Cricetulus griseus: one gene and its partners. The protein of the gene in region 5 purifies or fractionates together with the protein of the main gene of each other region. This does not show direct contact. Links are inferred from orthologs where the notes say so. Each region holds a gene or a part of one and is shown on either strand. Other genes may lie near its edges. The genes, in order: Polr3g, Polr1e, Rpap2, Polr3e, Polr2f, protein POLR1D and Polr3f.

Evidence for each region.
Region 1: the proteins of Polr2f (region 5) and Polr3g purify together in Homo sapiens (affinity purification with mass spectrometry; 3 studies listed by BioGRID and IntAct, with this or other methods). This does not show direct contact. The link is inferred for Cricetulus griseus from reciprocal best matches to the Homo sapiens genes POLR2F and POLR3G.
Region 2: the proteins of Polr2f (region 5) and Polr1e purify together in Homo sapiens (affinity purification with mass spectrometry; 4 studies listed by BioGRID and IntAct, with this or other methods). This does not show direct contact. The link is inferred for Cricetulus griseus from reciprocal best matches to the Homo sapiens genes POLR2F and POLR1E.
Region 3: the proteins of Polr2f (region 5) and Rpap2 purify together in Homo sapiens (affinity purification with mass spectrometry; 4 studies listed by BioGRID and IntAct, with this or other methods). This does not show direct contact. The link is inferred for Cricetulus griseus from reciprocal best matches to the Homo sapiens genes POLR2F and RPAP2.
Region 4: the proteins of Polr2f (region 5) and Polr3e purify together in Homo sapiens (affinity purification with mass spectrometry; 4 studies listed by BioGRID and IntAct, with this or other methods). This does not show direct contact. The link is inferred for Cricetulus griseus from reciprocal best matches to the Homo sapiens genes POLR2F and POLR3E.
Region 6: the proteins of Polr2f (region 5) and protein POLR1D purify together in Homo sapiens (affinity purification with mass spectrometry; 4 studies listed by BioGRID and IntAct, with this or other methods). This does not show direct contact. The link is inferred for Cricetulus griseus from reciprocal best matches to the Homo sapiens genes POLR2F and POLR1D.
Region 7: the proteins of Polr2f (region 5) and Polr3f purify together in Homo sapiens (affinity purification with mass spectrometry; 4 studies listed by BioGRID and IntAct, with this or other methods). This does not show direct contact. The link is inferred for Cricetulus griseus from reciprocal best matches to the Homo sapiens genes POLR2F and POLR3F.

What each region holds. Positions count from the first base shown.
Region 1 is NC_048595.1:302,134,184-302,138,079, forward strand, and holds part of Polr3g (DNA-directed RNA polymerase III subunit RPC7), read right to left. Parts: intron 1,850-3,896; coding exon 1,697-1,849; intron 1-1,696. UniProt on the Homo sapiens protein: DNA-dependent RNA polymerase catalyzes the transcription of DNA into RNA using the four ribonucleoside triphosphates as substrates.
Region 2 is NC_048595.1:98,430,260-98,434,692, forward strand, and holds the start of Polr1e (DNA-directed RNA polymerase I subunit RPA49), read right to left. Parts: upstream 2,971-4,433; 5' UTR 2,922-2,970; coding exon 2,801-2,921; intron 2,348-2,800; coding exon 2,244-2,347; intron 1,692-2,243; coding exon 1,615-1,691; intron 695-1,614; coding exon 609-694; intron 1-608. UniProt on the Homo sapiens protein: Component of RNA polymerase I (Pol I), a DNA-dependent RNA polymerase which synthesizes ribosomal RNA precursors using the four ribonucleoside triphosphates as substrates.
Region 3 is NC_048600.1:2,358,508-2,362,902, reverse strand, and holds the start of Rpap2 (putative RNA polymerase II subunit B1 CTD phosphatase RPAP2), read right to left. Parts: upstream 2,841-4,395; 5' UTR 2,826-2,840; coding exon 2,699-2,825; intron 1,883-2,698; coding exon 1,837-1,882; intron 1-1,836. Other genes in the region: Glmn (glomulin), read left to right, coding at 3,348-3,409, 3,883-3,940.
Region 4 is NC_048596.1:79,735,298-79,739,621, forward strand, and holds the start of Polr3e (DNA-directed RNA polymerase III subunit RPC5), read right to left. Parts: upstream 3,159-4,324; 5' UTR 3,000-3,158; intron 1-2,999. UniProt on the Homo sapiens protein: DNA-dependent RNA polymerase catalyzes the transcription of DNA into RNA using the four ribonucleoside triphosphates as substrates.
Region 5 is NC_048595.1:376,267,764-376,271,286, forward strand, and holds the end of Polr2f (DNA-directed RNA polymerases I, II, and III subunit RPABC2), read left to right. Parts: intron 1-2,408; coding exon 2,409-2,480; intron 2,481-2,703; coding exon 2,704-2,794; 3' UTR 2,795-2,875; downstream 2,876-3,523. UniProt on the Homo sapiens protein: DNA-dependent RNA polymerase catalyzes the transcription of DNA into RNA using the four ribonucleoside triphosphates as substrates.
Region 6 is NC_048597.1:82,928,029-82,932,719, reverse strand, and holds the start of protein POLR1D, read right to left. Parts: upstream 2,942-4,691; 5' UTR 2,841-2,941; coding exon 2,815-2,840; intron 2,011-2,814; coding exon of another isoform or gene 1,635-2,010; exon of another isoform or gene 1,455-1,634; intron 1-1,454. Other genes in the region: Polr1d (DNA-directed RNA polymerases I and III subunit RPAC2), read right to left, coding at 1,635-2,010, 2,815-2,840.
Region 7 is NC_048599.1:34,466,068-34,470,698, forward strand, and holds the start of Polr3f (DNA-directed RNA polymerase III subunit RPC6), read right to left. Parts: upstream 3,144-4,631; 5' UTR 3,031-3,143; coding exon 2,969-3,030; intron 2,214-2,968; coding exon 2,096-2,213; intron 1-2,095. UniProt on the Homo sapiens protein: DNA-dependent RNA polymerase catalyzes the transcription of DNA into RNA using the four ribonucleoside triphosphates as substrates.

The DNA of each region.
Region 1 (3,896 bases), about 74 Mb from region 5:
GTCCACTCTCTCCATATCTATTCAACATAGTATTTGGAGTTTAGCTATAGCAATAAGACAACAAAAGGAGATCAGAGGGATACAAATTAGAAAAGAAGAAGTCAAACTCTCGTTATTTGCTGATGATATGATAGTATACATAACTGACCCCAAAAATTCTACCAGAGCACTCCTACAACTGATAAAAACCTTCCATAATGTAACAGGATACAGGATTAACTAAAAAAAAATCAGTAGCTTTCCTATATACAGATGACAAATGGGCTGAGAAGGATATCAGAAACATCTCCTTTACAATAGCCATAAATAACAAAATACCTTGGTGTAACTCTAACCAACTAAGTGAAAGACCTGTATGACAGGAACTTCAAGTCTTTAAAGAAAGAAATTAAAGAAGATATCAGAAAATGGAAAGATCTCCCATGTTCTTGGATAGGTAGGATCAACACAGTAAAAATGGCAATCCTACCAAAAGTAATCTGCAGATTCAATGCAACCCCCATTAAAATCCCAGCATAAATCTTCACAGACCTTGAAAGAACAATACTCAACTTCATATGGAAAAACAAAAACCCAGGATAGCCAAAACAACCCTGTACAATAAAGGATCATCTGGGGGCATCACTATCCCTGATTTCAAGCTCTACTATAGAGCTATAGTAATGAAAATGAAAAGCTTGGTATTGGCATAAAAATAGACAGGTAGACAAAAGGAATTGAATCGAAAACCCCAATATCAACCCACACACCTATGAACACCTAATTTTTGACAAAGAAGCTAAAAATATAAAATGGAAAAAAGAAAATAGATTGAACAAATGGTGTTGTATAACTGGCTGTCAATGGGTAGAAGAACGCAAGATCCGTATTTATCGCTACGAACAAAGCTCAAATCCAAATGGGTCAAAGTCCTCAATATAAATCCATCCACACTGAACCTCATAGAAGAGAAAGTGGGAAATACACATGAACGCATAGGCACAGGAGACCACTTCCTAAAGAGAACAGCAGTCGCACAGACTCTGAGAGCAACAATTAATAAATGGACCTCTGAAAACTGAGAAGCTTCTGTAAAGCAAAGAACGAGATCAACAAGAGATTAAATATGTTAAATGCAGATATACAAAACAGTAGAAAGAGAACTATAGACATCACAAAAAGGTGAAAAAAATAGAAAAAATATTGATTCTAAAATTGAAGTGAAGCAACCTAGTTTACCAATACCTCGGCAGCTGTCACACTGCTTCTGTCCACATGAACTTGGGAATTTGAGACATGATGGCCTTGTTGGGATTTCCTTCTAGACGTATGTGCCTATGCCCTTTGGTACCTCAGCTGCTGTCTTAGCTTCTTATGTTGGTAAGTATGAACTGTACTACTCTCATCAATTTCCTTAATTCCTTACTTGCAAAAGCTGTCAATCAAGTTACTCTTATCTGCTGGTTTTCATTTTGTATTACTATCATTTCATACCAAGCACCTGATGCCAGGATAAGAATGCATTTTTGGTTCAATAAACTTAGGGTTTTGTGTTTGTGACAAGGTCTCACCTTGTAGCCCCAGCTCCTCAAACCCCTCGCACCCTATTCTTGAGTTTGCTAGTATTACAGGCGTGGTTTTGTATGCTGACTGACATTCCATGCCATAGGATATCTCTGAAGTTAGGGAGCAGCTCTCATCATCCTCAGACTTTTACCTCCTCTTGTTCCTCTTCATCGTACTCCTCTTGCTCTGCTTCATCATTGTCATCATCATCATCGTCATCGCCATCTTTATTTTTCTTTTTGCTCCCTTCTTTCTCTTCATTCTCTTCATCCGATTTTTCACCATCGCCTCTCTTTTCTAGTTCCTGGTAAAGGGAGATTCATTAATTTCCACTGAAACAACTATTCTTACATACCCAGCCCAAAGAGAAGAATTATGGATCATTTTAGGCTAATCCTAAATTAACACACGCCCGCCAGCCTCCCACCTCAGAAACTCAAGGAAAGGTCACCCACCATGCTGTCCCATTCTTCAATTTTGTGACTTAATCATTGGGCTTTGCTAACCTGGGGTTAGAATTCTAATCTACAATGCTTGCTTTTCATGTTTCCTATCCTACCTCCTCCTAAAATGTGTGGCATGATTTAGTTTATCCCCTTCCCATCTCCTTTGTCTTTCATTACTTCCCATTCCCAAGATTTTCTGCTTCGTGATACATCTGGAAGGTTGTGAAAAGGGGATTAAAACGAAAGTAAGTGAACACACCAGCCATTATGAGCCATCCTAGAAATAAGGAAGAGAAACAGAGTTGGGGAGTCTTGATGATTCTATTGATACTTGAAAACTCACCATGCCACAACCTCACAATTTGAATTTTATAAACACCTCATGACTGCCATTTTTTTTTTTCAATTGACAAAGGTGACCCATTTTTATTTCTGTTGCTCTCAGTTCACTAAGTTAGATGACCCTCACTTTACATAAGGGACAGAATTTCACAGGTTTTCTGGGAGCTGGGTACAATAATCATTTTGCATCTTCATAATTTAGGCTTCACATGACTAATTTCTGATTGGTCTTAACCCAGTAATTAGAAGAGTAACTAATAAAAATGTGTAGGCATTCTCCATCTCTCTTTAAGACTTTGTCAATTACTCATGAACAAGAAAAGCTATTTTACATCCAGAATAACTTCAACTTAGCTCTTCTTTAACTCCCTAAATATTTACTTTAAAAATTCTTTTAAAATCCCAGCACTTGGGATGCAGAGGCAGGCAGATCTATGTGAGTTTGAGGCTAGCCTGGTCTACAGAGTGAGTTCCACGACAGGCTCCAAAGCTACACTGAGAAACCCTGTCTTGAAAAACCAAAACCGAAACAAAACAAACAAAAAATTATTTTAATTCCAATTTTAAGTGAAGAAAATCAAAGGCAAAGAAAAGGCCACATTAAACAGACCCAATTTAAATGGATCACCTTTGAATGTTTGTATATGTGTGAATGCACGGGTGTGCATTAATATGTTCGTGTGTGTAGACATGCATGTGAAGACTGGAAGCTGACATTGGATATCTTCCTCAGTCACTCTCCATTTAATTTAGTAAAACGGGTTCTGGCTAGTTTTGGCAGCCCGTTGCTTGCCTTCGGGATCCCTTCTCTCTGTTTCCCAGGTGCTGGGATTATAGGTAGCTACAGGCTCACCTGACGTTGTGTGCATGCTGGGGCTTGGAGCTGCAGTTGTTATGGTTGCACAGTGAATGCTTTATCTATTGAGCCACCTCTTAAGCACATAATACTCAATTTTTAAATAAATCAAGCTATCTTGCTTGCAACTCACCTCACTCAAGCAGACCAAATTAAAATCAAACCTTGTGTTGCCTTGGCAGTTATTACAGCAATACCTTGTGTACAATTTCTCAACTGTCAATTTTCTTGGAAAATCTCAAGTGAACAAAATTTTCACAAACCTTTGATATATCTGACACACTCACGATGCTACATTAATATTAATTAATATAAGGTATTGTGCATTTTCTAATTTAACTAAATCGTAAGTAACAAGGCCTATAGCTAAATTCAATTATATAATTTATTTTACTCTGTGAAAAATATATTCTGTGATCTGGAAAGACAGCCACTAATTATTTCATAATTATAAACTAAATAGTTTTATTAAAAACAAAAACAAATACAAACCACAAACCTATATTTTTGAAAGTACAGCATTCATTCAATATGGTGTAAAGACCAGAGAATCTGTATTTCTAGTGTTGCCAAATCAAATAGCGTTAAGTTAAGCAAACAGCTCCATCTTTATCTTTACCACATACACCCAAATGAAAGCCATAAAGAACTTCAGCCAAACTGAAGTCTTCTAGTATAGACACTATGTGGCAAGGACCCTCCCTTGT
Region 2 (4,433 bases), about 280 Mb from region 5:
GAATGTAAGGAATCAATAAGTGATTCATTTAAAAAAAATATTGCTGGGTGGTAGTGTCGAACACCTTTAATCCCAGCACTCAGGAGGCAGAAGCAAATGGATCTCTGTGAGTTCAAGGCCAGCCTGGTCTACAGAGCGAGTGCCAGGACAGGCTCCAAAGCTACACAGAGAAATCCTGTCTCAACCCCCCCCCCCCCCCGCCCCGCCCCACAAAAGGTTATATATCCATATACCTTTTCAAATTAAAAAGAAAAAAGAAAAATGAGAACACTCGGCAAGAAGGCATCCTATTATGGTTGAGGATAAGCTGTGTTTGCCAAATAGACACCAAGTTCTGAGTTCACACCCCTTTACCATATAAACCTCTCACCATACACAGCACTCTCAAGTTGATGGCAGGAGGACCAGAAATCCAACGTCATCTTCAGCTACCCAGAAAATTCAAGGGTCTACATGAGACCTTCTCTCAAAAAGGTATATGTGGAGGAAGCCATTTAGAAAAAAATTACAAATGCCTTCTAGAAAACAAAAATGAACTAATCCAACAAACCCAAACGATGTATTTAACTGAATATTCATTTAACAGAGTATTCATTTCCGGAACCTACCAGCAAACAGTGGCTGCATGTTGAACAACTCAGCATCATATACTTCCATCTGCCCAGAGGTCTTATTCAGAATTCCCACAAAGTGTCTGAGGAAAAAAGTAATGATACAATAGTAGTTTAACCAAAAGGTTATTATTTACACAATCCTCTCTTTTTCCTATTCACATATCCCTAGCTTCTTTCTGCCAGAAAAAGGCATCCACTTGCTCACATGTAACAATAATCCCTGCACGGAGAGGAAACAGTAGGTGATGAAGAGGAAGGAGACATAAAATGGTTGTGGACTGAAAAAGCCACCAGATGGTTCTGATAACCAATCACATTTAAAGTCCCAGCACTTGGGAGGCAGAGGCAGGAGGATCTCTTGAGTTCGAGACCAGCCAGGTCTACAAGAGCTAGTTCCAGACAGCCTCCAAAGCCACAGAGAAACCCTGTCTCAGAAAACAAAACAAAACAAAACAAAACAAAACAAATTTAAAGCCACTGCTGTTAATGGAAACCCTTTTGAGGTAATAAGAATCTAAAATTAAACAGAATTTTGGCATGCATAAATTCTTCAGGCTGGATGATGCTGTGACACAGAAGACACCAGAGGTGAGCGAAGAGCAAAGTTGCCAAAGTCATTCACTCTGACAGTGCTGGAGGGCTGCTTTGTTCCAACCCAGAGGCCTTGAAGATACAAAATCCTCTTGTCCCAAGGCAAACTTGAGGCAAGCTTTGACCTGATGATCACACATTCTAAATCAGCAGACATAGCTGTCTTTTGGGATAGGACAGTCATACATAATGTCATAATGAGGTCTTTAGGAACTCGACAAACGCAAGCCATCTTTTCCTTTCTAAGGGTGTCTACACAACAGTATATGGAATTTGTGAGTCTAGAAACACAAAGTCTTAGCAAACCTGCAGATCTCAACTACCTCCAAAATGAAGACTGAAGATAGTGTTGTCTCTGTCACTACTACAACCCTCCTAGCACCTTTGTCACTGCCCAGTTGTCCATTACCTGCAAAGAGTGTTGCATTTGAGGGCGCCAGTCCCAAAATTGTTTCCAACATAGGACAGCCTGTCTGTTTCTGCTGCCTGAAAAACAAAGGAGTGTCCAATTTACAATCAGCACTGGGCATGGCCTCCTTTTGACGTGTATAGAAGTCTTAGAATCCAGGACCAAAATGACCAGCCCTAGATATTCTCCAGGTGACCTACCCCATCATATCTACAGGAATCTAGGGTGTCTCTGGGGGACCCCAAATACCATAAGGAAGCTTCAAAGTGATAAAGTTCTGGGGGGGGGCGCCACCTGGGATTGCATGAAATTAAAAAGCTTCAAACTGGGCGGTGGTGGCCCACACCCTTAATCCCAGCACTGTGGAGGCAGGGGCAGGCGGATCTCTGAATTGGAGGTCAGCCAGCTATGTCTACTCAGTGAGTTCCAGTATAGCTAGAGCTACACGGAGAAATCCTTTTTCCCAAATATGTGAAAAGTCATCGTTTCACCCAAAATCTTGCACCTTGGTGAAGCCACAGTCCCATTTGCTTTCCTCCTTTTCTCCCCTCAGGCCCTCCCATATCTGCCCACACCAAGGGCCTTCTGAGCCCTGCAGAGCCCAGACTACCTGTACCTGCAGCCCTTACCAGGATCCGCTGATTCTTCAGCCTGGGGTTTACCAAGTCGTTGCTGTTGTACAAGGTGAAGCGCATGTTGCCTGGATTCTGCAGCTTCCCATTGGAGAATTGGACTGTAAGTGTAACCCAAGAATGAGATGAGGGCAAGACCAGCAGAGTGGGGTGGCTTAGAACTACACTGTGGTTGGGAACCCAGGGCGAAGGCAAGAGAGCTCATGTCCCACTTTTAGGGAGACTGAAGGAAGTCCTGGTCCAGTACTAAAAAAAAGGAGATGGGGAGGGGGTGGCCTCTGTGCAGAAAATGACGGAGGGAATGTCATTAACTAGCAGAAGAAAGGGAACTCTGCTCCGTGGAGGGGAAAATGGGCGAATGAGAGACCTGGTGAAATCTCCAAGTCCTGGGCACTGCCCTGAGAAGTGTCCTCGCATGTGAAGTCACGACAGAGGAAAGGGAGGATAGCGGAGGCTCTGTCCCAGCTCCAGGCAGTGGGCAGGAGGGCTACGCGGTACCCAGATAGAAGGGGATAGGGCTGAGCGAAACTCCGCTCCGGTCCCGCAGTCTTTACCCAGCACAGCTTTCTGCCTGTCGTCAGGCTCCCCACAGTACAGCCACCTTGCACTCTGTTGCACCTCTGTCTCCATGTCTCTACTCTGGCTGTCCAGCCCGGAAGACTCCAGTGTAGCCATGAGCTCTCCGGCTCACACGCGGACGCATACACCGGAAGTGACACTCTGAGACCTGCCCAGAACACGCAAAACGCGAAACCACGCCTCTAGCGTGGTGGAGCTTCGTCCCGGACCACTCTTGGCTCTTTCCGCGGTGGCCACGCCCCTGGTAGGAGGGCCTCTTCGAGGTGCAGTACCTGATTGGCTTAGTGCTCCCGCTTACGCCCTAAGGTTTAGCCAAACGCCGAAACACAGCGTCTTCAGCCTCGGTTTCGCGTGGAGCTGCCTCTGACTTATCATCATCTAGGTAGAGGACTGTCTTTCTTCTCACCTTTCCAAGACCTGATAAGGCCAAGTTGAAATTTAGAATACTCAGGCCGTGCGTTGGTGGAGGCACTCGGGAGGCAGAGGCAGGAGGCTCTGTGGGTTTGAGGCCAGCCTGGTCTCCAGAGCGAGTGCCAGGATAGGCGTGTTCCCTGAGGCTGGAGAGATGGCTCAGTGGTTAAGAGCACTTGTTGCTCTCCCTCGGGTTCAGTTCCCAACAATCTTGTTAGGCAGGGCAGCTCCAGCTCAGGTAACTGGAGATCCTATTTCCTTTTCTGGCCTCCTTGTCACCTGAACACACATGGTCTCCACAAGCACATTCACACACACACACACACACACACACACACACACACACACACACACACTCACACACTATGCTTTGCTTTTAGCTGTCACAACTCTGACACACACACACACACACACACACACTATGCTTTGCTTTTAGCTGTCACAACTCTGACTGGAAGGTTACTTTCTTTGATCCTACCCAAGTGTTTTCAATTGATTGTTTTCAGAAAGGAAAAGGAAAGAGATGAAAGAGGGCTTCATTCTCTAATTATTCATCAGCTTCTTCTGTCAGTCTTTTCCACACTAAGCTTATTGGAACTTAATAACTAATTTTGGAGCTAATTAGAAACACATTTCATTTTAAATTATTTATTTAGTTAGTTAGATAGTTAGTTAGTTGCTAGCTAGTTCCCAAGAAGTAGTGTGTAGTAAAACAAAACTGCTCATTTGGTGGCCAAGTATGAAGGGGAAAGGGGCTGAGGTCCCTTATTCTCTTTAGGCTCAGTCTGTCTTCAAATTCCCACCTGAGGGTGACTATCAACTCCTCATCCTTCTGCCCGGTGCTGAGATTATAGACATGTACCACGCCAGCCAGTACATTTATTTCTTTCCTTTAACTTCTGCACCTCCAACTCCTGGGAGGTCCTGTGCAAATGGAGATTTTCAATAAATGTTCAATGAGAATGCTGGCAAGATAGCTCAGTGGATAAAGACACTTGCCATCAAGCTTGATGGTCTTCCCAGGACCCACCTAGTGGAAGAAGAGAGCTTACACAGTGTGTACAGGTGTATGTAAATGTAAAACAAATGAATATTGAACAAATGAGTGAAAAGCTAGGTGATAGGTGGGAATATTCATGAATCCTTGGAGTCTAGGGCAGGGAGTGAATCTCAAAGATACTTAGTAATGTTCTTGAA
Region 3 (4,395 bases), on a different chromosome or scaffold from region 5:
AGAGGAGGGAACCTCAATTAAGAAAATGCCTCTATAGTCTACGGCCATACCACTCTGAACATGCCCGATCTCATCTGATCTCAGACGCTAAGCAGAGTTGGGCCTGGTTAGTACTTTGATGGGAGAAAATGCCTCTATAACGTTTTGGGCTGTAGGCAAACCTGTAGGGCATCTTCTTAATTAGTGATTGATGGGGGAATAGTTTAGCTCATTGCCTGTAATGTTACCCCTGGGTTTATGGTCCTGGGTTCTATAAGAAAGCAGGTTAAGCAAGCCTTTCGGACAAGCCAGTAAGCAGCACCTCCCCATGGCCTCTGCACCAGCTTCTGCCTCAGGGTTCCTGCCCTGTTGGAGTTTCTGTCCTGACTTCCTTTGATGATGAACAGTGATGTGGAAGTATAAGCCAGATAAACCCTTCCCTCCCAAGTTGCTTTTGGTCATGGTGTTTCCTCACTGCAATGGTAACCCTGACTAAGACAGTGGTGTATGAAGCAGTACTCAAACATTCTGGTCTTGGGATTCCTTTATATTCTTAAAACTAGAGCTTTTTCACATATGGATAATATCTGTCGGTATTTACTACATTCAGATTAAAACAAATTAAAAACAATTTATTTCACTTGACAATACCAAGCCTGTCAGATGTTAACTTTTAAATGCATTCTATTAAATGAGTGAACTGATGTACATTTTTTGCTTGTATTTTTTTAGCTGGATTGAACTTGGAAGTATATTATGTCAGAATAAATCAAGAGGATCCGTCACCTGTTATCAATCACCATTTCATTACCTTATGGATTGCTTTGTCATCCTAGCTAATCTGCTCACAATACATTTTAGCTGGAGCTGGGAGTGTAGCTCAGTGGTAGAGTACTGGCCTAGGATGCAAAGTATTATGCAGCTCCACAGGAAATGCTTTCCTGAACAGTTCTCGAATACGTCTAGCATCTCTAACCCTCCACACCACCTCGCCCTAAATTAAACCTTACATCCAAGCACTGCCTTGCTGTTCTGTGCTCAGACAAACCAAATTTCTCCATGTGACACAGTAGATAGTACATGAACAGAATTCTGCCTCCTTCCCTCCCTCTGGGGATGTTATACACACCCGACCCCAGGCTCTTCATACACACTATCCCCCTAGCTGAACTTCTCTCATCCCTACTGTGTGCTTTACACCTACTCTCTTCAGGGTTTAGAGAAGCCTTGTCTTGAAAACCCACAGGCCACCCCCTGCCAATCTAAATCATTAGCCCTGCCTCATATCTCCTTTTTCTTCATAACACTTACTGCAACTGGTGATGACATATTCATTTGTGTTAGTTTAACTGACATTTCTCAGTCCCAGTGCACTAACCCAAATACAGGCTATCTTGTATTTGGAAAATATTTTGAAAGAAGAGTTTAGTGAATCTTGAAGTGTTGAGTCACGGAGACTTTTAATCTCTTCACAGACAATACCTCTCTTAGAGATCTTTTGTGACATGAGAGATAGATAGTAAAGGGTGGTTTTGGTTTGTTTTTAAATCTGCATTTAATGCTAGGAGACGAAGGGTTCCAGTGAGTCTGGCATATACAACAGTAAGCATGGATGTGAAGAGATGGGGAAGGAATGCTTGGTTAATTCAGGGATGGTGTGCCCACTATGTTTCCAACAGTTTCCAACAGCCTTAGCCTCCAGTTTGCTTTCCTTAAAGTTTTGAGAACTATTAGTGCTCCCTACATCTTCTCATAAGTTTGTTCTCAGTACATAGTTCAATGCCCAAATCCCAAGACTAGAAAATAAAACCAAACAAATCTGATCCAATTAATGAGATAAAAGGAAAGTGGCTATACCTTCTGGAAGCATCTTCTGGTTGGAGGGCACTTGTCTGTTTAGTTCCTACAATTGAAGAGATAACAGCAAATGCAAACACACATTTGATGTAGCAGTCTTACCCAAATAACACACTGTGGGCAGCTTTTCCTTTTCTCTCACAAATTTCATTTCTAGGTAGACAAGAAGGAAACTCCATTGCTTCTGTAAATTAACTACATCTCAATTTTTCTTGACTAAAATCTCTTTGGGGACTGGCTTTTTTCATGTATCATATCAGCTTTAATCAAGTACTTCTTTAAAACAAACAAACAAACAAACAAACAAAACAAGCCAGGCGGTGGTGGCACATGCCCTTAATCAGGAGACAGAAGGCAGGCGGATCTCTGTGAGCTCAAGACCAGACTGGTCTACAGAGGTAGTTCCAGGACAGAGCTAGGGCTGCTACACAGAGAAACCCTGTCTCAAAAAACAAAAATAAATAATAAATAAAAAATAAAAAACAAAACAAAACTTAAAGCTTTAGGATAAACATTTCTCGGTCTCCCAAATGCTAGATAGCTTGCCTAAAAAGAGGCGCTGATACCTCAGAGACCAGGCCCCAAAGCAGTCCAAAAGGAGGTGTAGTCCAGGATTCGAGGCGGCTGAACACCACCTGTTCTTGGCCCCTTGTGCTGGGGTCCCCAGCACGGCCCACGCAGGGGAAGACCCCGGAACACCCGCGTGAGGCCGCGGGATTCTTTCCCGAGGGCACCGGGGCAGCCACCCGCCACTCGGAGCCCTCCCTCCCCCGGGGGCAGACTGGGCAAGCAGCCCGCGCGCGCAGTGTAGACTCAAGCCAGGGTCTCGGGGTCCAAACCTGGAAGAGGCTACGGTTCGTACCTGCAGCCTTTCGGTAGGTGCTGGAGGCCGGGGCACTCGGGCCCAGCGAGAAAGGAACCGCAGAATCAGCCATGGAAAACGCAGTCAGAAGGTGAGACGCTGGCGGCCGCCAGGCTCCGCCCCCCATGCGTCTTCCGGACCGTGCTGGGGGCGGGCCCATGGAGGGAGGGGCGAGCGCTGGAGAGGGTGTACCCAGTCCAGGGGCGGGGCGAGCACCGGAGGGGACGGGCCCAGGGAGGGCGGGGCGAGCGCCGAAGGGTGAAGACCCAGCCCAGGGGCGGGGCGAGCGCCGGAGGAGGCGGGGTCCCAGAGGCGGGGCGAACGCCGGAGGGGGCGGGCCCGACCTAGGGGCGGGGCCAGGAGTGAGGCCTGCGCTGCGGGAGGTGGAGAAGGCGAGCGGTCTGGCGGGTAGGTGGACGAGCTGGCTAGGGCTGGTCCAGGCTGGCTCATCAGGACCCTGGCAGCGCGAGGCTCGCCTGCTAGGCCCCTCGAGGTGCTGGAGCCTGGATGCTCTGCCCAGTAGGAACAGGGAAACAGGCAGGGAAACAGGGAGAAATGGCTCCCCCTCGGCTCAGCCCACAGGCGCGGTAGGGTGTGATTTTGCTGTCCGCGCCTGGGGGGCAGCGATTCCACCAGCCCCCGGGGCCGCATGCTGTGCTGGTCACCACCGAAGGCCTTCTCTTCGGGTGGTTCGGTGATCTCACTGACTAGGTTTGGTTCCTGTGGAGAGGGCAGGTCTTGTGGGGCATGGGGTGAAGGGCGTCAGAGTCTTCAACTTATTTGGGTGACTTAATTGTGTTGGATTTCAGTATTTATCAATGGGACATTTTAAAGATTCCCTAATGATTAGAATTCTTATGCCAGGTCTACCGTTTTTGTTTTTGATTTTGTTTTTTTTTTTTCATGAAAGGAATACTTTCCTCTTTTGAAAAAAAGTTCTTCTAGGAAGTTCTCTCTAGGGTTCTTTTTCTTTTTTAAATCTCTTTTCATTCTTTAGGCAATACACTAGAGGCTTTAAAAATGTTCTAGTAGACTAGCACACTAGCGTTCAGTAATACCATTTAAGCTATAAAAATTTACATTGTATTTATGTGTTTTCTATTAATTCAGAATGAAACAGTTTATGAAACATAATTTACATAGTATCACAACTAACTGTGTTTTGTATTCATTTCATCATCAAGACTAGGACACTTATTAGGAATGGCTGTTGAGGAACTTCAGTGCATAATAAAAAGATGTGTAAGTAATTCTCTAAAACCACCTGTAAAATATGGCAAGGGCATAGATTATCTTTAATTACTTTGTGGTCACTCACATTATTTACCTTATCTATAATTCCAGCTTTTTTTGTTTTTTACTTGTAAATAAACAGCATAAGAGTAGGAAGGTAGATTGGATTTGTGTGTGTGTGTGTGTGTGTGTGTGTGTGTGTGTGTGTGTGTGTGGGCCTTTAATCCCAGTACTTAGGAGGCAAAGGCAGGGAGGTCTCTGTGAGTTTGAGGTTGGCCTGATCTACATAGTGATTTCCAGGACAGCAAGGGCTATAACAGAAAGATGGGGTGGGGATGGGGGGTAACTAGATAGATGGCTCTCAGTGGTGAAGAGCAGTTGTTGCTTTTGCAGAGGACCTTGGTTCATTTCCCAACACTCAGGCCCACTTGTAGCCTTCATGGGCACTAGGCACCTGTGGGCAA
Region 4 (4,324 bases), on a different chromosome or scaffold from region 5:
TCAAAGGTTACCTCATTTCTAAAGTGGACTCTGTCCCTATTCTTCAAAGTTGAAAGAAAACATGCCTGCCCCCACCCCTCACCAACTCCTTTCCTTTCTCTGGCCTCCAGAGCACTTTATCACCATGGGACAATTATGTTGTATCTGTCCTTCCTGCCATTAAGCTGTAAGCTACACAGTCTACTTTATGTCTTGCTGTACTCCTGCTCCCTAGAACTGGGCACCTGAAAATGTGGACTGTAGGATTCTTGGAGCTCCACAAGGATTCCAAGCAACGGAAGGGGGGGATGGGCTGGTAGGAAATGGGCCATCACAACAGATCTGAACCATCTAAGCACAGTTCTGAGTGGCTGCCACTGTGCATCTGCACTGGCTGCCAAGTGTCACAGATATGGGTCAAACAAGTACCTGCCCTTTAGGCAGCTGTACTTTGTGGCCAACTGAGACAGGACTTCAGGGGGAATCAATGAAACACAGCACATGCAAAAAGAGGCTGTGGCCTAAGAGAGTCTTCAGCTCTAGTTATTCTTTCACGGCTGAGATTCTGCCAGTCTTGGAATCAGGCAGGATCAGGTGCCCTCTCTGCAGGATGACAGAGGCTCCTCCCTCTGGGCACCACACCTGATTGGGTTACCTGCAAAGGTCATCACCTCTTGTTAGCCTCCCAACCAACAGGAGCCAATTCAGTGGCTTTCAAAGTTTCAGCCTATGACTGACAATAATCTTTTCCCAACAATGATGCAGAAGATACATGGAATGCCACAGCTGAAACAGTACTTCATGTAATATGATTGTTACATGCCACACAGTGATGTTTTCTATTTTCTATCCTTGCCTATGCAAAATAAAAATGCTGGTGGCAAGACCCCCAGGCCAAGTTTACATCACTCACTAATACATTTTTTGGTGGTGTTTTTTTATTTTCTGAGACAAGAGTTCTGTAACAGCTCTGGCTGGCCTTGAACTCACAGAGATCCTCCTGCCTCTGCCTCCCAAGTGCTGGGATTTAAGGCGTATATCACCACGGCCCAGCTCACTAAGTCTTAACCTGCAATCTTCAAAGTCAACAATCCAATAAGCCTCCTGAGTCAGCTGTGGTGGCCCAGGCCTGCGATACCAGCCCTAGGGAGGCTTAGGGAGGAAATTTAAGGCTTAGGAGAGAAATTTAAGGGCATCCTAGGCTATTATATAGCAAGGCCTCATCTGAAAAAAAAAAATAATAATAATAATAGACACAAAACAAACAAAAAAAGCTAAAAAAAAAAAAAAAAAAAAAAAAGCTTTCGTAGGGCCATTCTTTCCTATCTCTCCAGAGGACCTCCCGTCTCTGTAGTAACTACTCACATTGCTCTCTTCTTGAAACCCTTCAACTGTACCATAAAACAAAACCCAAACTCCCTTTCATGGGCCTGTAAGCCCTTACACGATCTTGCCAGGTTCCACATAACCATCTCCTCAGGGACTGGTAATCTATCACTGAGCCTCCAACAGGCCAATCCCCACGCATCCCGAGGACCTCTGCACAAGAATCCCAGGTCATTTTCAGGATGCTCATTTTCCTTAAATGTAAGCATTGCCCCTCCCTCCAGGACTAGACAGGTTTAGTGAAAACCCAATTTGAATAGCTGCCTCCAACTCTTTCCACCATTAACACAATCCCTTATTTCCTGAGTGGTCCTAACCTGGAACTTCTCTATTTGCTGCTCAGGTGTTGGCTATCCTCTGCACTAGACTTTGAACTCTACGAAGGCTTCTCTATGCTTCATATTCCTCAACCATCAAGTAGACATAATAATTATACTTCACCGTTGTTATAGGGTCATTACTTGTAAAATTAAAAAAAAAAAAATTCACAGCCCTTCTCCTAAACCCTAATGCTGTCTGGCATCAATATACTACCAAAAATATTCATTCTCATTAGCTGTGCAATTCAAAATTTATAGTGCCCAACTTATGATTTGCCCAAGGGCACAGCCCCAGGGAACAGTATAATCAAGAAATCCGTCTAGCAGGTGTCAATGAGTCTTGATTTTATTCTTAACCACTATGCTGCACACATCTTTGATAAAAGGCAGTATGGTGTAGTGGGTAAGAGGTCGGACTCCCGTGCGAAACCTTACAGGTTCAAATCCCACCTCTGCGCAACGTACCAGCTGACAGAAAGCATGAATTGCATAACCTTGGGTCCTTTCCTATTTTCATCCCTAAGCCGGCAATAAAAAAAAAAAAAAAGCACCGGCTTCAAAGAGAAAAGTGGAACATCCATGAATGAATGACTGTTGCTACGTGGCAACATGTTTTCTTCAAATAGGATGAAACGAAGACAGCCACAAATGAAAAGCAGGAGATGTCACCCATCTTACCCTCTTGTAACAGGAATCACGTTATCCCCATTTCGCAGATACCTTTTCGCTCCGAAACCCAGAAACCCTAAAGGCAATTACAACTGCAGGACGACCTGGTTTAAGCACCGCCACCCCCCGTGACTGAAGAGTCCCAGGGTCTGAGGAGCAGTCGCCTTTTGACTCTGCTTAAGCACAGATCAATCAATGAGGCGCCCCGGGCCCGGCACCACCAGCAAGGGTTGACCCGGTTCAGCTAGGACGCAGACCCCGGCCCATGCGGGCGGCCCTGACGTCCCATAGCTTTCTCCATGTCGCCGGTGCTCAGGCGCCCTTCCCACACCTCCGAGAGCCGCAAGCTACCGGGCACCAGTGCTCTCGCAGGTGCGGCTCCGGAGCCAGGCCCGGGCGGGGCAGCGCGGCCGAGGCCTGAGTCAGCGCGGGCCCCACGGTCGTCGCCTCCCCGACGTCCAGCCGTGCGGAGCGACCGGGAAAGCGAGGCGGCTGCCCGTGCGCCCCGCCCGGGTCCCGGGAGGCCGCGGCCCCTCAGCACGCAGCGGCGCGGGCCTCTCCGGCCTACTCCGCAGAGAGGCCCAGACCTCCGCGCGAGTGCGACGGCTGCGGCCGGAACCCCGGGGCTGCCGAGTCGGCACTCACCTCTCAGCCAGGGCCGCGCGCGAGCGGCGGCAACGGCCCAGGGACCCGCGGGCTGCAGAGACGGTGGCGGCCGGGTCTCCTATTAGGCAGCGGCCATGTTGCTGCTGGAGAAACTCCGGCGGACACGTGGGGGGAGCGGGGCCGGCCCTCGCGCTTCCTCTTACCCACAATGCCCCGCCCCAGAGCGCGCGGGCCCGCCCCTTCGGCGAGCTACTCGTGGTGCAGAGAACGAGAACCAACTGCAGAGGTCGCCGCTGGGGCGGCAAAAAGTAGCTCAGGGTTAAGGTAGGAAAAAACACTGATCCTGGCAGCGGTGGGATTCGAACCCACGCCCCCGAAGAGACTGGAGCCTTAATCCAGCGCCTTAGACCGCTCGGCCACGCTACCCAGCTGCTCATCTGGCCTTCTAAGAAGCTACTTAATGTTCTAACACATGCATACATTTTTTTTGTTTGTTTCTTATAATTTTTCGGGGGTTGTATTTGTGTTTTATCTACTCCTGATAGAAATTGTCACAAACAATATTGTTAAAACGCCAACTATTAAAATTAAATTATTTATATCCGAGCTTGTTCCAAATAAGCTTTAAAGCAAAAAGCAGTTTAAATCGCGTTCTGATGGTTAACGCGTCCAGTTAAACCACGCCGTCACCTACACAACCCGAATTAGGTGTCTTGGAGACTGATCCTGGCAGTAACTCTCACCCCAGCTCTGAGAAGCGAACCATGACCCCACATCTGCACAGTTCTGTCTGAAAAGTCACGTGTTTAAATTTTTAGTACGCAAACAATATTAAAACTTCGCATATAATCTTCGTAATATTCAACATAATAATTCTTTAACCTTTGACTTGCTTTAGTTTCCTCGTAACCACCATTATCGGCTGATTATACATCCTTTCGGATCTTTCGCTGTCGGTTTCTATGGATGTGTATCTCCATGGAAAAACAGTTTTGTTCATATTGTGTATGGGTTGGTATATAAATATTTATTAACATACTAACGCATAGAGAGCTGGCTAGTTTTTTCACCAGGCTTTTCATTTTTCTTTTGTTTTTACCATTTGTAAGTATCTATGCATGTTGATGTACACATACAGGCTTTTACATTTATTTTATTTATTTGTTTATAGGGGCGGCATGTTGTGGAGGTCAGAGTACAGACTTGCTGGAGTATATTCTCTCTTCCCACCATGTGGGGGCGGCTTAGATTGTCTGCCTTGCAGGCAAGTGTCTTTACTCGCTGAAACCAGCCCCATACGTTAAAAGACTGAAAAAGACACAGTGAAAAAAGTCACCCATATTCCCACCACCTAGAATTAAACT
Region 5 (3,523 bases):
TGGTTCACAGACCGCCAGACTGATTTCTGTCTTTGCTTAAGTGCTGAAATGGTTGGATAGCTTCCATTGGGTTCAGTGTGGCCTGCTAGCACCACCTGGTGGATGATGTCGCTCACTACTTGCTAACTGGGTGGTTGACATGCTTGTTGATTGGTGGTAGCTGCAGCACCAGAGTCACTTGAAGCCCACACTTGAACTTTGCGCGTCCATAGGGCACTGATGAAAGATGCCTTTCAGTTACTCCTGTCCCATCTGGAGAGACCAGGCTCAGGCAGGCCAGGACAGCCATGCATGGTCTGTAAGGCCTTATATAAAGATGGATTTCTTTTGTTTTCTTGGTGTTAAGGACTAAATCCAAGGCCTTACATGTTCTACTGCTGGCCATGTTTTGGTACATTTTGTTATTCAGGAAAGACACTTGGTTTCTGCCTTTGGGAAAATTCAGGCTTTTGAGGATAGCAGAGATCAGAATAAATAGTCAGTGTAACTCTCAAACTGGTTGGTCTCCAAAGTCACCCAGCAGGTCTGAAAGTACAGTCTTCAGAACCCTTCATTAGAAATTCTGTCCCAGGGCTGGAGAGATGGCTTTGCAATTAAGAGTTGCTGCTCTTGCAGAGGGCACAGGTTTGATTCCTACCACCCACATGACTAACAACCATCTGTTCCTCCAGTTCCAGGATGCTCAATGTCCTTCAAAGGCAAAACACCCATACACATAAAATAAAGTAATTAAAAACTTTTAAAGAAGCTGGAAGGTGGTGGCACACACCTTTGAGCCCAGCGCTTAGTAGGCAGAGACAGGTGGATCTCTGTGGGTTTGAGAACAGCTTGGTCTACAGAGCCAGTTTCAGGACAGCCAGGGCTGCACAGAGAAACCCTGTCTTAAAAAATAAATAAATAAATAAATAAATAAAATACAAAATCTGTCCTGATGATCTGGAGAAGCCATGGACCCTGGATTTGGCGTACTTCTTAGTAGCCCTGAATTTATTGGTGTAAGCCCATCCAGAGTTATCAGAGTTGTCTTTCTTAGGAGTTGACATCTCCCTGTTTGGTGTTGGTGCCTCTGCTTGGACCAAGCATCGGCTGGGGTCTGGGCACGCACAGTGGCCATGTGTGGTCCTAGGCTACTGGAAGCTCATGGTCTGCTGTGGACAGTAGTCTAGTGGCTTTGATGCCACAGAAGGCATATGTAAAGTAACGAGCACTGAAGACAGTCATTTCCAGAGTGGGGACACTGAGTCTCAGGCTTCTGGAGAGAGGGACTCAGAGGAGAAATGATATGGAATGTGCAAGTGCCTGAGCTTTTTTGCAGTGGCTGTGACAGAGTACTTGAGATGAGGCAGGTTCCTGGCTCAGTACATTTGGATCACAGTTCTGGGGGTGGGAGGGTCCAAGAACTAGGTACCTGCACCTGATGAGGCCTCAAGCTGCAACAATACACAGCAGAGTGCCACATGGTAGGACCAAGCAACCCCACTTGCCTGGACTTCTCGTTCTCTTCTTATAAAGCCACTTGTACCCTCACAGCGGTCCCACCCTCCTCCAGTACTGTAATCATGCTGACTTAAGAACACAGGGGACACTTAAGAACCGTAACACAGTGGAGGAGAAAGGCATAGAAGTTTGTTAAGGGTGCTTGGATGGAGGATGGATGGGGCCAGGCTGGAAGAGTGGTTGGATTTACATTTAAATTCCTTCTGGGGAAGTTGCTGTGAAGGGCTTGTGAGGTCGGACTGGTGTGGTCAGAATGAAGGACCTTTTCTGATTGAGTGTCACACTTAGATGATATCGTGTGTTACATGGGATATGCCATAGCACAGTGGTTAGGAGCAAGGCCTGTGTGTGAGCGGGTCACTTACCTTTCTGTACCTCAGTTTCCTTTCAAAAAAATAGTCAAAGTAGGTCTCCCCTCAAATAAATAGAGAATGTCAAGGTAGATAATCATGAGTGGCATGGAATCTTCTAGTCTTTAGGGTTTTGTTTTGTTTTGTTTTGTTGTTTTGTTTTTGTTTTGTTTTGGTCATCATTTTGCTAGTGAGGCGGGGAATATCTTTTTTTTTTTTTTTTTTTTTTTTTTTCCAGACAAGGTTTCTCTGTGGCTTTGGAGGCTGTCCTGGAACTAGCTCTTATAGACCAGGCTGGCCTTGAACTCACAGAGATCTGCCTGCCTCTGACTCCTGGGAATATCTTCTTTTTTAAATGAGGTTATTGGGATGTGGAGAGAAATCTAGTGACTTGTCCTTGGAGGCACAATTTAAATCCAACCTGCTGGTCTTCTCTGCTTTGTGGCAGCTCCCTGTGCAGTACTATGATCACCACTGCCTGCCTAGGTGACCTTGCTAAATGAGGATCAGGACACTGTAGTCACCTTCTCTGAGCTTTATCTCCTGTGTCTGTCCCTGCAGGATGTGTGCCCCTGTGATGGTGGAGCTGGAGGGGGAGACAGACCCTTTGCTCATTGCCATGAAGGAACTCAAGTAAGTGCCTCAGACAGTGGTCCCTTCCTCCAGAGCCCAGCATGCAGTTCTCAGGCAGTCTGTGTAGGGCAGTTGGTGTTTGATTCTGTTGATCTCTGGCTCATTCATAGTCAGGCCCCGGAAGTGGAAGGAGGGCATTTATGTGACACACATCTCTACCACCTGTCCTCTGCTCAGAGCCAGGGCACCAACCCTCATGTCCTGTGACTTCTCCCCACAATAGGGCCCGGAAGATCCCAATCATCATTCGCCGTTACCTGCCAGATGGAAGCTATGAAGATTGGGGCGTGGATGAGCTCATCATCACTGACTGAGCAGAGCTGCCAATTGTGCCTGGGCAACCCTTCTGTACCCACTTTATACATGTAAATAATAAATGTCACCTTCCCACCCAACTATGCCTGTTCTCTGCAGAGCTGCCACCTGCTGCTTCCTTGTTTCTGTCCTGCTGCAGAGAGTGGGCCCACATTGAGGTGGCCCTGGGACTGTTAGTTCTTTCTGAAGCACCAGGGCCCTTGGCCCCTTGGGCCCCCCCTCTTCCCTCCCTCTATCTCCCCACGCACCAGAGCAAAAGCTGCTGCAGGGGAGACACCTCAGCTGCCTTCTCAGCAGACAGATGAGTCTTTGTGCCCAGGGAGCTTGTTGCCATGGAAACCCCCAATTTCCTTTCCAGTGGGGACTGGCTGCAGGGGCTTCTCCCTTCTCAGGAGTATCACAGAGCAGGTCTCATCAAGCCAGCCATTGTTCCTAGGGACCTGCCTCGAGCTCTTATCAAGGACTCAGATCCCCTTTCAGGAGTGGTGCCCTAGCAGGAAGTATGGGGGTGCAGTGATCCCCCACTGTCCCCAGGCAGAGCCCTGCTGGGCAAGTCAGCAAGTGGAGCAAGGACCAAGCACCTGTCCAGCTGTCGTGGGCCAGTGCCACACAGTGTTCTCCATGGCCTTCTCTCTGGTCTGCCTCACAGACCTGAGATGGAGTTCCTCTCCTGCCTCTCTGTCAATGGACCCTCTTGTGCATCCTGCTTCCTCACCCCAGGAAGAGCC
Region 6 (4,691 bases), on a different chromosome or scaffold from region 5:
GAAGAAGAGATAAACACATGATTCTTGAATGTGATATGCTTTGCTAATCTTTTAAGTTTCCAAAATGTCATTTCTTCCATACAGAATTCTCCTCCTCCAAATTCTGACTTTCTATCAAATAGTATCTCTTCTACCTAACCCTGGGCTCTATTTACATACCTACCTAAGGAATGAAGATGTTACCTGATAAGTCATTTTTTTCCATTAAAATTGGGGCCAGGGAAACAACTCAGGTGGTAAAAAACTTGCTGTGAAAACACAAGGATGGAGTTCAGTCTCTAGAACCCATATAAAAGAGTTGGGTAGGATGATGTGTAGGTCTGTAATCCCCGGTGCTCAGGAGACAGACACAGGTGGGGCCCCTAGGGCTTTCTAGTCAGGTAGCCTAGTTAATTAACAAACTCCCTTCATCCCAGCATGTGGGAGATTATTAAGGCAGGGGCAAGTAAATCTTTGAGTTTACAAAGTGAGTTCCAAGCCAGCCAGATTGTCTCAAAACAAACAATAAGTAGGTGGTTCCTGATGAACCAACCATCCTTAAGGCTGATCTCTGGCCTCCATATGCATACAAGTGTCCACACGAACATGCCCACACAAAACAATAAAAAAGTATTCGGTTTACTCATCATAATTCTATATTTCATGAGTGCTCTGGAACTCAAGCAGTAAACTGGTTATCTATCCTACAAATACTACAAAGATGGACCTTGATGCCAATTCAAATTCTCATGAAGAAAGCAACAACAAAAAATTCTCATGAAAAGTTAAAATTCTCAAGAGTCCTTCTAATTATCCTCATCCTTACTAGGTCTACCAATCATATGAAAGGATGCATTTACATTAATAAAAATCCAGGGCTGGCAAGATGGCTCAGTGGGTAAAGATGCTTGCCACCAAGCCTGACAAACTCTAAATGGATCCCATATGATGGAGAGAATCAACTCCCACAAGTTGTCCCCCGACTTCCACCTGTGTCATGGCATGCTGGTACACACACACACACAAAGTAAATGGTTAAAAAAAAACTCAAGTCCCTCTGCCAATCTTTTCCTGCCTTTTTAAATACAGTCTACGGTTTATGTTTTATTCCATCTCCCCTTCCTCAGCACTCCAATCATACAGAAATGAATAGCCCTTTTAATATCCATGATCAAGCCGGGCATTGGTGGCGCACGCCTTTAATCCCAGCACTCAGGAGGCAGAGGCAGGCGGATCTCTGTGAGTTCGAGGCCAGCCTGGTCTCCAGAGGGAGTGCCAGGATAGGCTCCAAAGCTACACAGAGAAACCCTGTCTCGAAAAAAACAAAAACAAAACAGACAAACAAACAAACAAAAATCCATGATCAAAACCCTCAAATTGGCCCAATTATCCGTTCACTTTCTGTGTTGGTCCAAGTAAGGGGTGGCACCATCCTTGGGGATCACCTAGGTACAAGGAAGAGAAACCACTCAAACTAGTTTAAACAAAAGAGAGAATTTATTAGGCAAATATACTTGCAGAGATTCCAACAGCTGTAATGGGTCAACAGCTGGAACCACACCTTCCTATAAGACAGAACATGCTTCAATCACAAACTCTAGCTTTGGGATCTGCACCATCATGAGGGTGATCCTCCTTGTACCCTGCACGAGGGACTAGAAAGTGGGTTCATTTCTGCTTGCCTTTTGATCCTTATAATCCTTTATGCTGGCCTCAAACTTGTCAAGCACATGTTGGCAGACATTCATGAGCTCATTCAGGCCTTTCTGAAACGGTTCAACAGCTGGAAGGGTACCCCGTGTCTGAATTCGCAAATTAATTTTGCTCTCTGAAGGATGGGTCGTAGTGTAACCACAAAATTCCACTTCCGGGTTCTTCATGATCATGTACCGAAGAGAATTTCCTAGGGTATGGTCCTCCTCGTGCAGTACAAATGTCACACACTGTCTATCTGTTCCAGCTGCCTGGACCATTTCCAAGGCTGTCTTCCTCTCGCCTTCGGCCATTGAGGTCTTCAATCCTGACATTTTTCTACACACATATTTTTTTGTAAGAATGAGATCATATGGGATACCATTTTGTGATTAAGCTTTTTAAGATTCACCACCTCAGTTTCCTGCCTCCGATACTTCTATACATAAATATTTAACTCGAGTTTCTCTCTACTCCATTTGATATATTGCCCACAAGGGGAGTCATCTCAGAAAATAAACACAAATGTTTGCAAAATCTTTCTTTGAATAGAGAAAAAGAAAGGGGCAGAGTTATAATAGGGTAGGCCCTGCTGAAAGATGAAATGGGAGTTGACAGGCATAAAAAACACGATTACTTTAGCATAAAAATGGCAACCACAAGTTATTAAGGTGGCAGGCTCAGTTATGGCTTCCCTTTGAAAGAGGTAAGGAAACTAGTAAGTCAAAGGAAGTGAAAAGTTTAATAGGAGGAAGAATTTGGCGGTCAGAAAGAATTTACGAGCAGTCTGCAGAGCGGAGTTGCAGTAACTTTAGCCGACTTAACATGCCAGCACCGCCCGGTGCGTGACCTTACACGAGGCAGTTCTAATGGGGATGGCAGTTTGGCACTTAGAGCTGGATTCCCAACTTCTCTCCCCTCCAGGATGGCTAGTGTCCCTCTGAGCTTTTCTGTATAAACAAACCCACCACCGCTTCTCCTCCCTCTTCCCAACCCGCTCGGCTCTACTCTCGATCTTCCCTTGCCCAGCGCCTCGGGTCAGGCCTAGCCGCCCCGCCGGGCCGCAGTCGGCCGCGTGCCCGGTCGCTACCCGCTTCGCTGGCCCGGCCCGCCGCCCCCTCCACTCTTCCCCTCCAACCTTACCTCTCCAGCTCCTGATCCTCTTCCATCGCGAGGGGCGGCTCCAGGAAATCCTCAGGTGGTGCTGCCGAAAAGGACGCTCTTCCCCATATCGCGAAAGATGCGGGCGAAGCAGGAAGGAAGAAACCACCGACGGAAGAAGCGGATGACGGAAGGAGGGGGGCGGAGCCGCAGCGGCGCGGCAGGACCCGATGGAGGGGCGGGGCGAAAACAGAACACGCCCCAGCCACGCCCCGTGCGGGCCGGACCGCTCACCTGGAACTGCGGAAGCTAGGAGGCTACGGTGCAAGCAGTCCCTCGCCTGTCGCCCCCAGACACTGCTGTTTAGGGTCGGAGTTGAACCTCTCATCTGCTAGACCCACCAGGGACGGTACTGCCCCGGGACTGTCTTCCCCCCCCCGGACTGGAGTCCTTTGGAGCCTTTCGTAGGGCACCTTGCAACCTTGAAAAAGCAGAGAGACTTGTGTGCAGAGATGACTCTTCTGACCATACTGAGGTTTACAGGGAGCATTTTTCTCCCTGGGGTGCAAATGCACATCTCCATCAGGTGCAAGGCAGCGTTTGTCTTTCTTTTCGGAGAGAAGTATGAGTTTGGAGCACCGCCCTCCTTCCCCAGGAGCTCGGGTTTACCCACTGTGGACCTGCGGTTCCTTTCCCCTTTGATCCCAAGGAGCCGCCCTTCTCTTCCCCTCAGGTGCATCCTCCCAGTTCCCACCTGACCCTGGCCAGGCTGGGTCCCCGCCCCACCCCAGCTGTCCTCTAGCGCACACCTACACGTCAGCCACCCCGCACCACCTGTTCTCCCTCAGCCTGGTCCCGCAGCCCTCCCCTCCCTTCAGCTGTCCCACGGCCGGCGCGGCGCTCCGGGGTGCAAGCAGACACTTCCCGAGCGTCTTCTCTGTGTGTGTCTGAGAGAATCCGGCCGGGAGCGATGGCGGAGGGCGGAGCGTGCTCACTCTAACTCGGGAGTGATGAGCAGGGCCGGTCTGGCCCCTCGAGCTCCTTGATTGGCCGAAAGACTCAGAGCCCGCTCTTAGTCCCGCCTTTCTCCGCCGCTGATTGGCTCAGGTGCGTGTCGGGTTGGGCCCCTGCGCTCGCCCCCGAGGGGAAAGGCAGCAGGGGCGGTTGAGAAGTGAAGTCTTGGCCGGACTTTGCTTCTCGCCAGGAAATCGGCGGCGGTGAGTCCCGGCGGAGTGGAGCCGGGCGGCGTCCTCGTCAGCGCTCCTGCGAGGAGCCCGCCGCTTTCCCTGAGTGAGTTACTTCGCCTCAGGTGCGGGCGGTGACAGGGTGTGGCGCTGGGGTAAGGGGAACCGCCGGGGGCCGCGTGGAGTCCGGCCCGGCCCGGTGCGGGTGCGGGTTCCCGGCGCCGCGCTGCGGGTCTGCGCGACGCTCGCTTTTTAAAACGGGGAGCTCTGGGGACGAGTTCTTGCACTTCGCGTCTGCACGTTGTCGGGAGCTAAAGCAGCGCTAGCTGGCTGCCCTCTGGTTTTGTTCCCTGGAAGAGATGAGCAGAGATCCTTCTCCCCGCCCCAGCCTGTTGCGGGAGAATTCTCACCTTTCCCTTCAGGCTAGAGACAGATTTGACGTGTTTGGGGGAAGGGGAGGATCATTTCCAAAATATGCATCTCAGTTTGGAAGCATTTGCGCACAAAAGCACCGCTTGGGAAACATTTCTGGCTTTCCAAAGCTTTCTGCCACGTTTCACACAAGGACTTTTTAAATGGAGTATTGGAGTATTCCCGTTTACGTTTAAGATTGTGTGTTTGCCAGAAGCCTAAGGACGCTTCCGCATGGCTTTATCGAATTAATTTTTCTTTTCTCACTGTAGAGCCCTGTCTGGCCTGGAACTCACAGGATCCGCCTCCCTCTGCCTCCTGAGT
Region 7 (4,631 bases), on a different chromosome or scaffold from region 5:
TCCAGATGTGTGTACCACTGGACTTGCAGCAGTTACAGGAAATTATAACCAAGAAGAGGCCCTACTATGTGTTAAGACTGTAAAATATGTTTACACACTGGACAAACTGCAACACCCTCCCTCTTCCCCTAATACACCAAATGGCAAAGTGGGACCACAAAAACTGAATTCAGAAGTTTCCTTCTGTCATTTATTCAGTCTATTCTAGTCACTCACTAAACACCTATACTGTACCATTGACCCCCGCTGCTAAAGGGACAATTTGTTGACATAATTATAAGGCTGAGGATTGAACACAGGGCAGCATGCAAGCTAGGTGAGTGTTCTACCCCCGAGCTACACTCCCAGGGCAAAACAAATTCTAAAAAGGGAGCACAGAGATGATTTCAACACTATCTGGTTGGCTTTAAGAGAGAAACAAGGGTGGATACAAACTCAGAGAAATGACTACGGCGCAACCTGGGGGCTTCAGGTAGCTTCCTGGAGACAGCAGCAGAGCTGAGTCCTAAAGGATAACAAGGAAGCCCAGAAATCTCCAGCACTTCTTTTTCTTTCGGTGAAAACAAAAGTCACTAGGCCACTGCTTGTTTTCTTACTAATAAAACTTCATCAGAAAAAGCCACACCCACATGTGTACATATCCCTGTTCATGGCTTGTGGTTGCCTCTTGTTAAAATGACAAGAAATACAGTTGTGACAGAAACCCGATGGGACACAGAGGATATTTTATTACCAGTTCATACAGAAAGTTTGCCAAATTCTGATCCCTAGCCAAAGCTTTAGACAGAATACAAGGCAGGAAGTTTTAAAGTTTTAAGGACTCCTTTAACTAACTGCTAATAAAATAAAACCAAAATGCCCTCAGAAAATGGGAACTCAGGGCAGGCGTTGGTGGCGCACACCTTTAATCCCAGCACTTAGGAGGCAGAGGCAGGTGGATCTCTGTGAGTTCGAGACCAGCCTGGTCTACAAGAGCTAGTTCCAAGACAGCCTCCACAGCCACAAAGAAACCCTGTCTCAAAAAACAAACAAAAAAAAAAAAAAAAAAAAAAAAAAAAAAAAAAAAAAAAAGAAAGAAAGAAAAAGAGAACTCAATGGCTTGAGAAAGACAGACATAAGCAGATTTAAAGCATGGGGCAGTACTTGGTGGGGTTTTTCAAACATTGGAGGAAGTAGAAGCTTTAGGGCTTCAGGTTCTTGGGCTTCACTGAAAAATCCATGGCATTGTTTCTGGAAGCTGAGGCTATACTTCTTCCCAAAGACCTTCAGGGGGACTTCTCCCTGCTCTTGAAAAGCTCTGAATGACATTGTGATACCCAATGAACAGGCTATGTGATAACTCACAGAAAAATCACAATGGAAATATTTTATAGGGAATAGCTAGGTGCTATCAGCAGAAAGCAAAAGAAGGTGAGAACAAATTACATCCATGTGTGCTTTTGTGTCAATTAAGCTAATAATATAATTAACTATAACAGAATTGTACATATTTCTTCATCTTGTCAAACGGCACATAATTGTTTTCTCTTTCAATTCAGACAATTTAATCTTTCTCTGGTTTGGAATCAAGTCACAATCTTGGCTTTTCAATTAGTGTACTGGTTCACTAAAAAGAGGCTTACCATGCTATGATTACTTCATGTGATTATGTTGGGTGAGAAGTTTTGTAACATCCCCCCCTTCAAGCCAGAGACTCAAAAAGTCCAGTGGCACAGATCAATGGCATAGATCTGATGCATTAGCCTTAGAGACAGACTGTCAATGGTGTAGATGGAATCTGAAGGCCTAAGAACAAAGAGTCCTGAAGACAGAAGAACTCAAAGTAGGTCTGGAGTAAATTCCTTGGTCCTCCATTTATCTGTTCTACTTAGGCTGATACTAGATTGGATGGTGCCCACTCACCTACCCACTCAGTTTAACACTTCAAATACTACCACGTTCCAAAACATCCCAGAAACAGCATATAGCCAGATACCTAGGAATCTCATCTCCCTGTCAAGTGGACACATAAAGTTAACCATCACAATTATGTGACAGGAAGCAAGGAAAATCATAATATACAAAAAATTACATGAATTAGTTGAATTCACCTTACCATGGACAACAGTCTATTGATGGCCACTGCCCGTTGTTGGGCTTCAATGTGAGGCATTTCATTTTGAATTACTTGATCTGTGATTCCATGAGGGAACTGGTGGCACAATTCTATAATTCTGGGAATAAAGGTATTAATGATTTACGTTTGCTTGTTTCAAAAGGCAAATGAGGGAGATACATTATCAGTGGGAATAAGTACAACAAAATGAAGCCATTAGGTCTGTCACAGAAGGCAAATGTGGAATACGGGGATGGGATGTGTGGGATACACAACTGGGGTCTGTGTGCAAAATTATCCCTTCCAAACAAATTCAAATATCTCCTTAGGAGTAATAAATGTATTATCCACAACTGATGAGAAAGTTGCTGTCTTTTACCTACATTATAATTCAAAAATATCTGCACGCTACAGGGGAGTATTGGCTTTAAGGCACTCTTCACTCAAGTTACTTGGCTCAATGATGCTTTGAAATCACAAACTGAACCCTGACTTGGCCCGTACGTTCTCTTATGGAATTTCCGTTGGACACCAAGCAACCCTGAGATGGAACATGAATTCAAACATGACCAAGGACTACAGGGGAAATGCGGGTCTCTTTTCAGGCATTGGCCGTCGTCAGGTTCCAAGTGCGTCCTCACTACCCTAACAGAATCCTGGCGCAGCCAGTTACATAAGGTTCCAAGCTGTCAACGCTGCTCTTCAGCTACTAAAGAGTTCTGCTCTCCCAATTCCGGAGGGGGGCGTCTAGAACCCCGCAATTCGGCTCCCGCGTGCTCACCCGGCCCGCTCCGGCCACTAAGCGGGCCTACGAGAGAAGGGGTCCGGCTGCCCGGCTGACTTGCTCACCCTGAGTCGGGAATACTGCATTACCTGTTTTCTATTTCCACCGGATCCGCGTCCGGTGGCTGCACCTTCACCTTCACCTCAGCCATAAGGGCGGTTTTGGAGACCTGAGAAAAAGTCGCCCCGGGGGCCGGGGAGGCGCGCGCCCGGCGGCCGAGGGTCCTTCTTCGTCCGGTCGCGCCGGGCTTTCGTCAGGTCGGCCTGGGGCGTCCGTGCTGTGCCTGCTCCGCTCTGCTCAGCAGTGTCGCCACAAGGTCTCCTTTCTGCTGTCCGGAACTTCAGTGTCTGTCGGATTAAAGGCTCTGGCTCCCGTACGGTGAGTAGGAGCGCAACCTTTCAGGCCCTTCCAGCCGCCGAGAAGGCATATTCTTGGATACCTATAGCAAAGCCTTGCAGACGAAGGCGGGGGCGGGTACCAGACAGACTCCTCAGCCCAGAGACAAGGGCGGAGCTGGTTGCTAGGCAGTCGATTTCCCTGCCAATCATCGGCTCGGCTCCCCGTAGGCGGGCGCGGCTTGCAGCGTCTTTGGTAACGCAAGCTGCCGCAGAGGTGCAGTGGTGCAGCGGGCGTAGAAGACTAGACACACCCGGTTGGCGGCTGCTAAGGTACGTCGGGGGTCCTTATCAGTGTCCTTGAGGCTGGAGGAAGGTGAGGAGGAGGGCCTCACCCATTCGGTTGGGAGGGATTCAGGCGTCATTGACTGCCTCGCGAGTCCGAGGGCTTGACGCAGCGGGTCCTGGTCTGGGCATCGAGGAGATGGTCCAGGTGACGGATGTTGGGAGATGCTGGTGGCATGACACTGACAGCAGGCTGCGGTTTGGACTAGCGAATCAGCCTTCTTCATCTCCTCCTCGTGAGATCCATTGACCACCGCAGCCTTCCAAGAGCAGCTAATAGCTAACCGTGAGCAAATTAGTCTCTGTGTTTATTTAGCATCTAGTTTTTCGGCTATCTTTATTTTAACTGACTCACTGGAAAGGAAATGTCATCATAGGCAAATCCCTCCGCGTCCAGCCTCATTTCTGAAGGGTGAAGTACCTGTATTTTTTTTTTTTTTTATTCTTGGTCCTCAAACTGGCAATTCGTCTTTTAAAATCTAATTAGCCCATTTTTTCCAGAACAAGGTATGTCAAAACGCAATGTTCATTATCAGAATTCCAATTACCAAATTAAAAAAAAATAGCCTCACCATTGAACAGCAAATTATTATTGCATGACAAATTGTAATTAAAAATGAGGGTGAAAATGTTTATTATAAAAATAGGATGAATATGTACATTATAATTGAATAATTATGTAACCATATTGATTACGTAGCCATAATTGAAACAGCAGTGCAAGGTACAAATGCTGTGCTACGATAACTCCTCCCCACATCAAAGAAAAGACGCATAAGGTCTCTATCTGGATGTTATTTACAAAACAGTAGGAATAGGAATCTTGTGTTTATTGGTTTATATTCATGTCAGCTTCGTTTCTCCTGAGAACGCATGCTCTGCAGTCTTTGCAGCTTTGATTTGCAATATACTGCAATGGCGAAGGTAAGACTGTGGGGCGTAGACCTTCTTTTGAAAGCTGCCTCTAAATAATCCTTGATGCGTGCAAAGCTACTTGTTCCCTTATGTAATGAATTGCCTTGAAGTCGGGAGAGTGAGTGTGTATGTGTGCTCTGGCTGAAGGCAATGAAGA